Linked DNA regions of Pelodiscus sinensis. The protein of the gene in region 1 interacts with the protein of each later gene in a pairwise test. Links are inferred from orthologs where the notes say so. Each region holds a gene or a part of one and is shown on either strand. Other genes may lie near its edges.

Region 1 (7,113 bases):
CCATTATTTAAATCGCCGCTTCATTTCCCTTTTTCGAGTACACTAATCTACATGACTCCGTCGACAGAGCCATGTAGTCTAGACGTACCCTGAGTGGGGTTGAAGGGCTGGCGAAAAGAAGGCTAGCCCCTGCCCCAGCCCCACCTCTTCCACGAGCACAGAGTTCCACTCCCACACCTGGTCCATAGGCTTGACAAGTCTGTTGGGGCCCCTGAGGAAGGACGTTGGTAGATTGAAGAGCAACACAAATGCTAAAAGATTTAAATACCTGAACTATGAGGGAAGATTTAAGAAATGAGGCATATTTAATCCTGAAAAAAGATGTCCAAGGGGAAACCTGTTATTTGCCTTTATTACAGTAAGGACTTTTATAAAGAGAAGAATGATCTACTAATTGTTGTCTATGTCCCCTGAGGGTAGAACAAGAAGCAAGGGACGCTGTCCCCTGCAAGGGAGATTTAGGTTAGCTATTAGGAAATCTTTATAACTATAAGGATACTGCAAAAGCGGCGAGGAGTCCTGTGGCACCTTATAGACTAATTTCAGTTAGTCTATAAGAGAGAATTCAGTTAGTCTATAAGGTGCCACAGGACTCCTCGCCGCTTTTGCAGATTCAGACTAACATGGCTACCCCTCTGATATAAGGATACTTTAACTCTGGAACAGGCTTCTAAGAAAGATTGTGAAATCACCATCCTTAGGGGTTGTTATGAACAGACTTGACAAACTCTTGTCAGATCTGTTCTAGATATACAGTGAAATTCCAATTGTCCGGCATCCAGTGGTCCGGCACCAACTGGAACCCGGAAGTGCTCCGACAGCTGTTTCAAGAAGTTGTTAGTCAATTACAGTACCTCCGGATGGATCCGCAGGTGACAGGCTCACAATTTATCTTTCCTCAACTGCCTCCGGTGGGGGCGGAGGGAGGGCGGAGGCTCGGTGGGGAACGGCGTGGCAAGGGGCAAACCCTCCGCTGTTTTGCAGGGAGGTAAAGCCTGTAAACAGCGGCGGCAGCAGCGAGGGGGCGAGAGGCAGGCAGCTGTTTCAAGAAGTTGTTAGTCAATTACAGCACCGCCGGGTGGATCTGCAGGTATTTGGTTATGCCTCAATGCTAGGGATACAAAATTCCATTTAATTGATTAACTGATTAAACATGTTGTTTAACCAATTAATGGATAAAAGGAGACTGTGGGAGGGGGTCACTCCAGGGTCGTACTGGCTGGAGTGGTCCCCCACCTACCGCTGGGCTGGAGCAGTCCCTTGCCTGTACTGCAGGGCATCCTGCAGGCAGGAATTTTCTGGCCACCCCTGCCTGGGGCAGGCCCACCTGCAGGGCTGAAACAGGTGGGGAGCTCCTCCAGCCTCCACCAGTTAACCTTAAACAGCAAAACTTTCATATCCCTGCTCAGTGCAGCCCTCCTCTTCTGTCATTCACATTAAACACTTTCAAACAGATTAGTTTTTGCCTTCTAAGTATCTAATATTTAATGAGACTGTCGGACGAGAAGTTTAGCTATTGCAACTTGCTGCCATAGGCAGGTGAAACAGCCTTGCCATTTCTTTAGAATTTGTTTCTAAAACATACTATGAGAAACTTTTTGGGGAAAGTAATATGTGCTTTCCTGGATGTCTGTTAAGCTATCCAACAAAAAAATTTTTATCATGCAACTAAGAGACCATAAAATGGAATAGAATAGAAACACAAATAAAGATAATTTTAAAGACTCCTCATCAATTTTTCTCCCACGATTCTCTCACCGCTGAAGATTAAGCAATCTTTGGAAAACAGGGACCACGTTCTCTTTTTGTACACTGGACTTCTCAGAAGAAGAGAAACAAAACATGCACGACCAGTTTGAGTTTCAGAGAGAAACAAACATTCAAGCCTGTTTACAGCTCAAGCATTTTTCTGCGAGCACCACCAACCAAGAACCTTTCCTTCTCCTAGGGTTGTATTTTCATGTGGCTGGTTGGTTTTCTTGCTGCCTCTGAATCTCTGCCAGTTCATTTTTTGCCTTCCCAGCTACTTGGTCAGAAAAACAGTACATAGTAGAACCACCTGCCCATATGGCCATATTTTCTCAGAAAATTCCATTTTGCATTTTATGTAGGCCTCTTTAATTTTGCCTTGTAGCAATCTTAAGCGAAGGACATGTTCACATACCAAATTCAACAAGGTTTTAACTCCACCCAGGTATTAAAGGAACTTACATTTCTTACAGGTACTGTCCTATAGCATGCCGGTTCCCTGCCAGCTCTTTAAATAGCTCTCTGCTGGCTTTTGCCACAGCTTAGCCAGTTCTTGCTGGAGCTGTGCACTAGCGTGCACCCCCCTTACTTTCACCTCTGACTCCACCCATAACAAGGTATATCCCATTTTACAACTGTAATAATATTTCCAATCCTAAATATTCATACTCATGAGTCAGAACCTCCAAATCATTTGTTTTTTAAATCCTGATTTATTACTACATGTCCCCAGAAAAGGGGACCAAAGCCTGAGCCCACCTGAGTCATACTGCCCTGGGCAGGTGGGGCAAAACCCAAGAGTTTCAGCCCCAAGGGGTGGAGGGAGCCTGTAACCTGAGTCCTACTACCCAAGGCTGAAACACTCAAACTTTGGCCCCAGGCAGTGGGACTTGGGTTTGGGTCCAAGGCCCAGCAAGTACTCGAACCTCTTTAATCTGGCAACTCTGGGAAATAGGGTATGCTGGATTAAAGATTTTGCTGGGCCAGAGAGGACACTGCGGGATCTGGACGTGAGGGGATGAGAATAGGGTGCTTACCTGCTGCCCTACTCCCAGGGGCACATGAAGCTCCATACTCCTCACCGCTTTTAGGCACCACCCCTTGCCATTATGGGAACAGAGGGCAGAAGCATCAGGGTAAGTGGCCCAGCATGCTGCTGTTCCCTCAACGGGTGGGAGACGATGTGGCAGTTCACAGAGCCAGTTTCTCCTCTGTACCATAGATGTTCCTGGATGACGGACACCCAGAATACAGAGGTTCAAGTGTATAACATCTGTCCTGGTGACCCCGTTAAAAGGGGGTCATGATTCACTTGGGGGGTCCCAACCCATATTCTGAGAACCGCAGACATAGGCATGAGTTATATGGATCCGTGCTGCCCAGACACCAGAAAGATTCCTGGTCACGGGTCAGGCTCCACTAAATTCAGAGCTGAATTTTTCGCAAGGCCCTGCCTGCAACCTCTCTCACATCCTCCTGGCCCATTTGCCACCCCCAGACAATTTAAAACTGCCCAGGAGCTCCTGCCATTAACACTGTCAGTGTAGTGGGGCTAGTGCTCATTCTATACAGTTGCCGGCATGTGTGTGTGGCCCCAGGGGTGGATGAGAGTTTTGCGGGGCCCAGGGCAGCACAATTTCTCCAGGCCCCCCTTTGGAGAAAAAAATGGAAAAAAGGCGTCAAATGCACAAATTGAAGGCTATTTTCATATTAAATGTGAATTGGGTAAATTTGATAGAAAATTAATTTAGTTGGATAATTTTTATTCTAATTATATTGTAATTCATTTTTAAACAAAATTCTGCATTAATAAAAAAAGAGGGGGATGTCCAAATGTTGAGCAAAAAAAGTCACCCCCCGCCACAAAAAAAAAATCATGGCACCTTTAAATCTCACACTCTCCACCCCATTCATGGCAGAGCAAGAATGTCCCAACTGGCTTTCCAGTTGAGAAAAACTGAAAATACCGGACATTTTACTGGTCCGGTATTTTCTGGGGGTTTACCACCTGATAGAAGCCACAAATACTGGACTGTCAGGGCCAATACCAGACACCGGGCAACCCTAGTCATAACTCGCGCCTGCATTTACAATAGGCCAAGGACATAAGTTGGGGGATTTTGGCCTCTTCCCCACTTCGGAAAAAGGTCATAATGGTGGTGGCAGGGGGAGGATCGTAAAGCGGGCTGTTATAAAGCAGGGGCCTCTGTATTTGTGGCAGGAGTGGGAAACCTCTCTTGGGTTAGGGGACACTGACTCTACAGAAAAATCAGCTGGGGATCACACAAACGGGCTGGGGACCAGCAGGCCTGGAGCGGATCTGGCCAGGGGTTTGGACTGTGCCCCAAGGCAGGGGATTGGGGTGCAGGGTCTGGGAGGAGGGTTATGTGGGTGAAGACGTGGGAGTGGCTGGGGGGGCCAGACACCTACCTAAAAGTGCTGCTCGCCCATTTCTCCCACAGGAGCTACCTGGCCATGTGCTCAGGGATTAAAAGCCTGAGGGGAGCAGTGATTGGTGGGTTCCCGCAGCTGCCATTGTCCAGGTCCAGCCAATGGGCTTGTGCGGGGGGGTGGAAGCAGCCCTGAGCGACCCTCCCCTGCTGGTTCACAGCTCCTGCACCACAAAGGGCCCCGCCGCGCTGTTCTGTTCTGTTTTGCGTGGGGGTGGGGCTGTTGCTGCCTTGCGGCCAGACCCGACCAGCATGGGGCTTGCGCGGGCTGCCTGTTGCAGTGGGGGCAGGGCTTGAGCTTCCAAAGCGCCACGTTGGGCTCCCTCGCGGGCCCCAGGCTGCCGATCCTGCTCTAAGCAGGGAGGATGAGAGGTTAAAAACACCGGCGCCAGCGCGGGGCCTATTAAAGCACGGGGCCTGGGGCAGCCGCCCCGCTCGCTCTGCCCTATATGTGCCGCTGTGTGGCCCTGTGTGGCCCCTGGGTGGGGGGGAGGGAGGAGGAGAGAGATGTAGCAGCGCACAGATCATGGAGCAACACACCTTCCCCTTCCTTGGCCAGAGTCTGCACACAACATCCATACTTCTTCCTGGAGGTTGCACCTCTTATCCCTGCCTGCACCCACATCCCCTACTGCACCAAACTCCCTCCCATAGCCTGAATTCCTACCCCTTGCCCCAGCCCAGAGCTAGCACCCAAGCAAGATAAAGGAGTTGACAACTCTATTATATAAATACATAGTAGGAAGCATACTCTATCCTGAATTGTTTAGAAACCAGTCAGACACAGAGGAGTTGGAAGCACAGGAATACACATGCATGGAAAGGTAAAGTGATTTGTCCAAAGCCACAAAGTAGGTCAGTGGCTGAGCCAGAAATAAAACTCAGGCATCCTGATTCCTCATCCTTGCCCTCTCTCCGCCCAACCCTTGCTATAACCCTGGGGATAGAGAAGGGAGAAGCACTGAAACTAGGTTTACGTTACTCGTAATTTCTCTGGCCCAACACCAAGGCAATTATGACCCAGTCCAACTCCAGCCCACGGGCAGATCTGTGCGCATTGCCTGCTGGGAGTTGTAGGCTTAATCAGACTACAAATCCCAGTGAACCTCGCAGCAGAGAGTGGCCGCCCAGCCCGATTCCCCGCCTCTTTGTCATTGTCATTGGTTTCAAGTTATGTCTCTGAAACGCGATTGGCTAAGGAGGCTTGTCTGTCAACAAGCGGGCACAGGAGGGGTTGGGATTTTACAGTTAGGCGAGGGGTGGGCGTGGTCGTTGAAGGATGGCGGGGAGGAGGAGAAGGCGGGCGGAGCCCCGGGCACAAGGGGGCGGGGCCTGTGTAGCTCGCTCTGGCTCCTGCGCTGGGTCTATCCGGCGCCGAGCTACCCCTGCCCGAGCGCCCTGCAGTCCCCGGGACGCGACTGTCGCGCTGCCCGCGCCTTGCCCTGGAAGCGGGAGCCGGGAGCCGCCCGCACCCCGAAGCCGAGCCGCCTGCGCCGGGACGTGGGAATCTCCCCGGCTGTGCGGCGATTGCAAACACGCCGCCCTGCCCCGCTTCCCTCCCCGTCGCTGCCGCCGCCGGACCCCGCGGGAAGAGGGGCCGACCAGGCTCCAGCCCGAACAAAGCTTCATACCCCCCTCGCCTGCCGGCTGCCGGCCCGCGCTGTCATGGTGTGGGGAGGCCGGGCCCCCCGTGCCCAGAACCGCGTCTGTCCGGAGAGGCGAGGCGCGTGGCGGCTCTAACGGCGAGAACTTCGACACCCGCGGGGGACGCCCGCGGGCTGGGGGTGCCCTCCATGGGCTGGGCCCGGGCTTTATTGTTCATCTCCAACCGCTGTTGCTGCTCCTGCACCACGAGGCAAAGTTGGTGAAGGTTGGGGCGCCCTGGAGCCGAGGGAGGATGGAGGAGAGAGAGGGCGAGGTGAGGTGGGATGGGTTGTGCAGCAGGGATGCCAGCACCAGAGATGCTGCCTTGGAAAACATCCGGCAGGCTGTTTTGAGGAGAACAGCCCAGGTCTCACCTGTAAAAGAGGATCTTCCTCCTGGGCCATCGGAAGGATGCTTGGCTTCTGCTACAGTTCCGGACAGATTGAATGAGATGCTGGCTCGCCTCCTCATGCTTTCCCAGAGATGCCCCTTTAGAAACGTCAGGGAGAAGAGTGAGTCTATTCTAAGCAGTGTTCAGGTAAGAGTCCCGGTGCCTCTTCCAACAAACAGCCCTCCTATTTCTTATCTCTGAAGCAGCTTAGAGTACCTCATATTTTTAATAGGCGTTATCTTGATGTAGAAAACAGTATAAAGATATAGTGCCTCTTCAGCTGTATCACAGGAAAGCTTTCGTTTTTGAACTGTACTCTCTAGAGTCTAGACTGTATTGTGGTGTTCAGTTCAGACTGATCACGTTAATATTAAACTGGCAGTAGAGCTAGTTTCTGAAGAACTTTATATAATTTGTCCTGAGACATAACTAACCAAAATACTGGCAAAGTTTATCTGTCAGAGGAGTGCATAACATCGATAAGGAAGTAATCTGCTTATAAAGAAGTAAGTGGTGTCCTCAGACATAATCAGCTCCCTTTGCAAGTGAATTCCTGTGCAAATTTTCACAATGAAATATGGGTTTATTGTTGGGGCACAAGTACATTCAGGAGAGCATATGCCCAAATTGTTATTTTAATATAATTGTCAGGTGTTACTAGGGTTGTGACTAAGTCAGTCTTATTAGTATAAAATCAAGACAGATTGTGTTGTCTGAGGCCAGAGACCCTGAAGAAAAAATGCAGCAAATGGTTCATGGATCCTGGCCCAGCCTATACTGCATTGCTTGGCAGCAGCACAGGGTTGCTGTGGCTATTTCAAGGGTTCACAGGTCTGGCCCCTGTCGGGGTAGCACCGCAGCCATAGTCATAGCAACCTC
Region 2 (7,404 bases), on another chromosome or scaffold:
TTTGCTGCTATTTTTGTTTTTCAGCTTCCCATTAGTTTCTTTTCTTTTCTTTCTTTTTTGTTTTTGCTCAACAAGTTTTGTTGCTATGGGGGGGGGGGGGGAGTTTCTCAACAATCAGAAAGGGGGCGTGATGCCAAAAGTTTTGGGAACCGCTGCTTTAAAAGAGCCCCAAGTAGCTGTCTTGTCACAAACCAGGTCTACAAGCCAGATCCACAGGGCAGCATTAGAATTAGAGTTCATCCGCAAAGTCAGTTCACATGCTAAGGGACTGGATGGTGATGAAAGTTGGTTAGGACACGACCAATTTAGCAGCTCTCGGTGTAGCATCCTTCCTGACATGGGAGTCTATCTATTGACTTTGATTCTTAGCTGCTTCAGTTTAACTAGCTAATCTTCTGATACTTATTCTGACGATTCCCTCTGCTTGCTGTCTCCTACCCCTCCCTTTTTCTTCCCGCCCCTCTCCCCTTCCCCTCTCCTATTTATTTTGGGTGTACACATCCTAAACTCATAACTCCGGTCATCTGAAGAAGTGGATTGTGCCCACGAAAGCTCATGATCCCATCTACATGTTTTGTTAGTCTATAAAGTGCTACCAGACCATTTGTTGTTGGTGGGTTTTTTTGGTTTATACCTGTCGCGCATCATTCCAGGAGGCCTTGAGCTTTTCATTTAAAAAAAAAAGAGACTTGATTTTTCAAATCTGGGTGCATAAGGCAACTAAATCCATATCTGAGTCACTGTACGATTTGCAGGGGTGCTGAGTACCTGTGAGTCATAGCGCCGTTACTGAAATCCCTTTTGGTGCGGGGCAGGGATGTGAACGACTCGCCGCCTAATTGCTCCCTGTCACAGTGGTGCCTAAACTTCTCAGCATCACATCCCCTTTTTGATTTTTGAGAAACCCTCACGGCCCCCCCAAAAAATAGCAGCAAAACTTGTTGAGCAAAAAAAAAAAAAAGTTGCCCTTTTAAGAGCAGAGCAGGCTTTGCCCTTTTAAGGTGACCATTTTGAAGTCTACCTGGGACATTCCATCCTCCCCTGATTTTTTTTACGGGAGGGATCGGGCTCTTTCTTGGGGGGAAATTGATGGGGGAGGGTTCGGTCGCCTTGCACCCCCACCCCTGGAATGTTTTCATGCCCCCCCAGGGGGTGCACCCCCCAGTTTGGGAACCTATGCTCTATCAGAAAGAGGCAGCCAGTGGGGGGAAGAGGTAGGGGTGTGACGTAGTGGGGGTACCTGGCTGGTTTCTATGCTGCTGGCTCTGGGGTAACCCCCACTGGCTGCCGTGGGTACCACGACCCAGCAAAACAGGATGAGTCACTATGCAAACCAGTGGCCAGACACCCCCCATGGAGAGGAACAAAGGAAGGGGGAATGCTGCCCTGGCTGGGGGGCAGGGCTGGAAGTTGGTTAGTGAGTTGGTGGCTGTCTGGGAGCATGGAGGAGACAGCCTAGGGAGAGGAGCTGGAGTTTAGGGGCCCAGTCTCCCCCCAACTCAAGGGAGCCTGAGGCATCCTAGCCCAGCTCTGTGACCAGACTACATCTGTGCTGTGCTGTATCCTGGAGAGGCAATAAACTTCCTCTATTCCACCGGCTGGTGCAGTCTGTTTGTGCCATTTCGGGGTGCAGGAGACGGGGGACCCCAACGCACCGTCACAAGGGGTGCTTCAAAGTGGCAGTGCCGCGTGGAGCCAGGGTCAGCTGGGGTCTCCCCTGCTGACCCTGGGCTCCATGTGGTGCTGCGGCTTTGAAGTGTAGCAACAGCCCTGGGATGTAAATTGCATCGACTATTCGATTAGCCAATTAATCAAAATGTTACATCCCTAGCGCGAGGCTTATTGGCAGAGCAGGAACGCGTTAACCCTTTCAATGCTGCCCTCTCGCACGCGTGCAGCGAAGCCAAATGACACATTGATTCTATATTGATGGCTGTGGGTTTGTGCAAAATAAAGTCCTACTTCCTGATTGGCCCCAGACTCCCCATTTCGCACTAACAATCCGGCCACTGAAATGAGCGGAATGCGCCTCTTTTGACACCGGCATACGCTGGGCGAAAGGTTTAAATCGTGAGCTTTGTGTTTCACCGGGAAAAAAAGTCCCGACAACGCCGATGAGAGTTTGCGAAAAAGATTTGCTCGCAACATGAACATGGCTTCCCCCCTTCAGCTGCCATTGCCATGCAAGGAACATGTGTACAGTTATGAATCCCCAAATCATTCGGTTACGGAACGGAACGGCAGCTTTCCGTCTTTCGGATTCAGCTGTACCACGTCTGGGTCATTAGTCCCCAAAACGAATGATGTTTGAAGGCAAAATCCTACAAGTTGGAAGCGGTTCTTTTACTCCCCTTTGGCGAGCACGTGAATAAAAAATTCTAGGGCGTCTATTTCACTGCTTGAACTTACCTGTCAGCGTAATTGACGCAGAACGGCTTTGCCCGGTCAGGCACGCGCCTCCGTGGCTAGTTTCAAGATTTATCTGGACAACCGTTTCGCTTCTGATCATTGTAGCGGAAACACCCAGTTTAGGAAAGGCATCCAAAAAGGGCACCCCAGCTCCCTCCTGACCTTCTGGCAGGGTTCACTCCCTTCGCCCCCAATGAACAGACACCTGTCGGTCAGGTAGTCGTAGAATCATAGAATAATAGGACTGGAAGGGACCTCGAGAGGTCATCGAGTCCAGCCCCCCGCCCTCAAGGCAGGACCAAGCTCCGTCTACACCATCCCTGACAGATGTCTATCTAACCTGTTCTTAAATATCTCCAGAGAGGGAGATTCCACCACCTCCCTTGGCAATTTATTCCAACATTTGACCACCCTGACAGTTAGGAATTTTTACCCAATGTCCAATCTAAACCTCCCCTGCTGCACTTTAAGCCCATTACTCCTTGTCCTGTCCTCAGAAACCAAGAGGAACAAATTTTCTCCTTCCTCCTTGTGACACCCTTTTAGATATTTGAAAACCGCTATCATGTCCCCCCTTAATCTTCATTTTTCCAAACTAAACAAGCCCAGTTCATGAAGCCTGGCTTCACAGGTCATGTTCTCTAAACCTTTAATCATTCTTGTCGCTCTTCTCTGTACCCTTTCCAATTTCTCCACATCTTTCTTGAAATGTGGCGCCCAGAACTGGACACAGTACTCCAGCTGAGGCCTAACTAGTGCAGAGTGACAGACACATGACAGACACATGACATTTACCAGTGCTACCCTATGGCAATCCAGGAGCCTGCCAGCTCTTTCCCCTGCTTGCTTTCACCTTGGTGTGGGTGGCAAAGGGTTGGCCAGCAGCCGGCAGGGCCTGGGCGTCTGCAGGGAATACAAGAGGCCTGGTACCCACAGAAGGGCTCCAGCCCCCTCATTCCCGTCGGGGAAGCAGAGAAACAGCCCGAGCTCTGCTTTTGGGGTAGTCACAAAGACAATTGCCTTGCAAACCAAAAAGCAGGCCACAGGCCCTGGTGTGCCAGCACCGCCGAGATACCCCTGTAGGTACCCACAGTGCTGCAGTTTGCAGGTGAGATGCCCTACACAGCCCCACACCGGCCCTCGCCACGGCACACGGGAGGCTGAAGCTGTGGGGGAAAGGGGCTGCCGACTCTCCTGCATCGGTCGGACGGAGGTTGGGAATGGCCGGCACGGGACTGGCACTGAGCTGGGGGCTGGTGGTAGCCGGACGGATGCTCCCTTCCCCCATCATCCCCATCCCCTCTCCCCCAATTTCTCCCTCCCACTCCTCCACTTCTCATCTCCAGCAGCAGCCTCTGCCTTTCAGGGGAGTCCCGGAGAAGCCGTCCCATGGCCAGAGGCCCCGGTGAAGGGCATGGTCTGGCCGTGCAAAGGAAGCAGCCCCCCCAGAAGGGGCTTGGCCAGAGAGCTGGAGGAGCATGGGGTGGGGGAGGGTGTCACCGGATTGGGGCTGAGCTAGATGCAGGTGGCCGGGGGCTGGCACCCAGGCGGGCCCAGGCCTGTTCCGTTTGGGCCCCTCTAGGCCTCTCTGCAGTCTGGCAGGACGGAGCTGGCACAAGAACCCGGCTCCCAGCCCCCCCCCCACCATGGGCAGAGGGCACAGCCCTGGGGCTAGTCCCTGCCCCACCCCCGACCCATAGGGCCCTGGCCAGCCTCTGCGCTGTGGCCCCCAGGAGAGGGGGGGCTAGATCGCACGATGGCAGGATGTGGCCGGCCCCAGGGCCATGCCGGGGCCCCACGAGCTCACAGCAGCTCCTCGTGGGCCCCCGACCACCGCAGGGAGAGCAAAGGCTGCTCCGGGGGAAGGGGGGCCTAGTGGTTACGGCCCCGGGCTAACGCTCGGGGGCGGAGGAGGCCGGGCGCTCTGCAGGGGGGGCCGCCACGGTGAGCAGCACAGGCGACCCCACCCCAGCTGGCCCCGCCCGGGGGGGGGCGGAGCCCGGTGCATTGTGGGTGCCGCCCATGGCAGCGGCAGGTGAGCGCGGAGCCAGGGGCGGGCGGGCGCGGCGCAGACGTCGGAGGTTCCGGCCGGCAGGTGGGTCCCGGCGGGGTTGGGGGCTCCCCGGGGCGGGCAGCCCCACGCGCGTCCGTGCGCCCTGCCGGGGCTGGTGCGCGTTTGCGCGCGGGAACCCCGTGTGCGCACCCTGCGTGTGCACGGTTCGTGTGTGCGCACGGGCCGCGCGCGTGCCCTGCTGGTGGGCCATAGGCTGCGTGTTGCACTTTTGTACGTGCGTGTGCACACCTGGGAAGGGGGGTGCCGGGCCTGTCCCGCTGGCGCTCCCCTGCCCGTGCGCACCAGGCTGTGGGTGCCCTGTTTGGGTACGTGCGGGCTGGGAGTGCCCGGTGCCTTGTGCATTTGGGCTTGTGCACGGGTGGGGCGTGTTGCTCCCGCGTGTGCCCCGCCTGGGCAAATTTGGTTCTGTGCCACACCAGGTGCCCTTGCTCCGTGCGAGGCTGGTGTGACTGGTTCTCCGGGAAGGGAGGGAACGCAGCATCCAGCTGGCACCCAGACTGGGGCCCTTCCTCCCCTGTGTGGACTCTGCCTTGGGGCGCCCCGTCCCGCCCGTCTGCGCTACACGTTCCCTGCCAGCCCCACTCAGCCCCGCATCCCACCCTTGGAAGGATCAAAGCTCACGTCCTGTCCCACCCTGAGCGCCCCCTTTCGGGCAGGGCCCCTGCCCACTCCAGGGGCAGAAGGGCGCCGGGCCTGGCTCCAGGGAGCTGGGAGGGAGAGGGGCGCAGGGACCGCCCTGGCGGGGGAACGGCCGTGCTCAGGGTGCCCGCTCCCCGCAGGCTCGGCCGTGCCATGTCCGTGGTGGCGGAGGCCGGCGAGAGCCAGCCGGCGAGGATGACGGCCGATGACATCGTCGCTGGCACGCGCCAGGTGCTGAAGGGGCTGGAGGCGCTGCGGAGCGAGAACCGGGGCATCGCGCGGCGGCTGGAGGCGGCCCTGCTTCAGGGCCCCGGGCCGGAGGGGCCCCAGGTGCTGGAGCTCCTGGAGGAGAAGTACGACCTGGTCCGCAAGTCGCTGGAGGGGATCGAGCTGGGGCTGGGCGAGGCAAAGGTACCGGCGGGGCTGGGCCAGCACCCCAGGGCAGTAGAAAGGCGGCTGGCTCCAGGAGCCGGGGCGGGGAGCCCCTGGTTGTTGCAGCCCCACCTTTCCCAGTAGGGGGCGCTGTGGGGAGCAGGGCAGGGGCACTGGCTGGGGGGAGCTCCTGCAGCCCCAGCCTGTCCCAGTAGGGGGTGCTGGGGGGAGTCCCAGCTGCTTTAGCCCCACTTCCCAGCAGGGGGCGCTGGCTGGGGGAGGGGGAAGAGCTTCTGGCTGCTGCAGCCCCAGCCTCTCCCAGCAGAGGGCACTGTGGGGAGCAGGGCAGGGGCACTGGCTGGGGGGGAGCTCCTGGCTCTCCCAGCAGGGGGCGCTGTGGGGAGCAGGGCAGGGGCACTGGCTTGGGGGGGAGCTCCTGGCTCTCCCAGCAGGGGGCGCTGTGGGGAGCAGGGCAGGGGCACTGGCTGGGGGGGGAGCTCCTGGCTCTCCCAGCAGGGGGCGCTGTGGGGAGCAGGGCAGGGGCACTGGCTGGGGGGGAGCTCCTGGCTCTCCCAGCAGGGGCCGCTGTGGGGAGCAGGGCAGGGGCACTGGCTGGGGGGGAGCTCCTGGCTCTCCCAGCAGGAGGCGCTGTGGGGAGCAGGGCAGGGGCACTGGCTGGGGGGGAGCTCCTGGCTCTCCCAGCAGGGGGCGCTGTGGGGAGCAGGGCAGGGGCACTGGCTGGGGGGGAGCTCCTGGCTCTCCCAGCAGAGGCCGCTGTGGGGAGCAGGGCAGGGGCACTGGCTGGGGGGGAGCTCCTGGCTCTCCCAGCAGGGGGCGCTGTGGGGAGCAGGGCAGGGGCACTGGCTGGGGGGGAGCTCCTGGCTCTCCCAGCAGGGGGCGCTGTGGGGAGCAGGGCAGGGGCACTGGCTGGGGGGAGCTCCTGGCTCTCCCAGCAGGAGGCGCTGTGGGGGCAGCGACTGGGGGTGGGGAGCACCTGGCTACAGCAGCTTCAGGGGGCCGGCCTGGCAGGGGAGGAGGTTTCCCTGCTGAGCCCGGCCCTGCCCTGGCCAGATGCTGGTGGCGCTGGCGTCCCACCTCGGGGCGCTGGAGGCCGAGAAGCAGAAGCTGCGGGCGCAGGCCAAGCAGCTCTGCCAGGAGAACCTGTGGCTGCGGGAGGAGCTGGCGGGGACCCAGCGGCGGCTGCAGCAGAGCGAGGAGATGGTGGCGCAGCTGGAGGAAGAGAAGAAACATCTGGAGTTCATGAACCAGCTGAAGCAGTACGACCCCAAGGAGGAGCAGGTGAGGCCCGGAGTCCCTTAGGCTGGGGGGCAGGAGAGGTGGGGCTGCTCCCCCGCTGGAATGGGGGGAGGACCCTAGGGGGCACTGTGGCCAGGTCCCCCCTTGGCTGACCAAAGCTCTGGGCAGGGAGGGGCCGGGCCTGGGTTTAGGGCTGTGGTGGGGGAGCCCAGCCACGCCCCTGCTTGCCCCAGCCGCTCCCCTGTCCCCGTAGCCGGAGGAGGTGGCCCCGCGGCGGAAGGACAGCCTGGCCTCCCTGTTCGCCAGTGACGAGGAAGAGCAGCGGCAGGGTACGTGCCGGGGGGGCTGGCAAAGGGGCTGTGGGGCTGCCGTGGGGCCGGCTCACTGCCCTCGGCTCTCTGAGCGCCCCCCCCCCCCCCCCAGCCCCTCGGTTCCGCCCTCAGGCGCCCGGCCCTATTGGCGGGATTGTTACCAGCGCCAACCAATTAGCTAGAGCTTTGAACCAGGCTGTGCACCCAGCTCACTTGGCCCGGAGTACCCCCTGCCTGCCCCCCTCCCCACGGCATCTGGCCCGCAGTACCCCCTGCCTGCCCCCCTCCCAGGCATCTGGCCCGCAGTACCCCCTGCTGTCCCCCTCCCTGGCATCTGGCCCG

What was found.
Region 2: the proteins of CEP57L1 (region 1) and KLC3 interact in binary tests that used the Homo sapiens proteins (3 or more experiments, as listed by UniProt). The two-hybrid records come from large-scale screens. The link is inferred for Pelodiscus sinensis from reciprocal best matches to the Homo sapiens genes CEP57L1 and KLC3.

What each region holds. Positions count from the first base shown.
Region 1 is NC_134713.1:77,741,462-77,748,574, reverse strand, and holds the start of CEP57L1 (centrosomal protein CEP57L1), read right to left. Parts: upstream 3,001-7,113; 5' UTR 2,970-3,000; coding exon 2,787-2,969; intron 1-2,786. Other genes in the region: SESN1 (sestrin-1), read left to right, coding at 6,097-6,381. UniProt on the Homo sapiens protein: Centrosomal protein which may be required for microtubule attachment to centrosomes.
Region 2 is NW_027465849.1:7,074,070-7,081,473, forward strand, and holds the start of KLC3 (kinesin light chain 3), read left to right. Parts: upstream 1-4,395; 5' UTR 4,396-4,504; intron 4,505-5,262; 5' UTR 5,263-5,275; coding exon 5,276-5,533; intron 5,534-6,565; coding exon 6,566-6,793; intron 6,794-7,004; coding exon 7,005-7,080; intron 7,081-7,404. UniProt on the Homo sapiens protein: Kinesin is a microtubule-associated force-producing protein that may play a role in organelle transport. Plays a role during spermiogenesis in the development of the sperm tail midpiece and in the normal function of spermatozoa.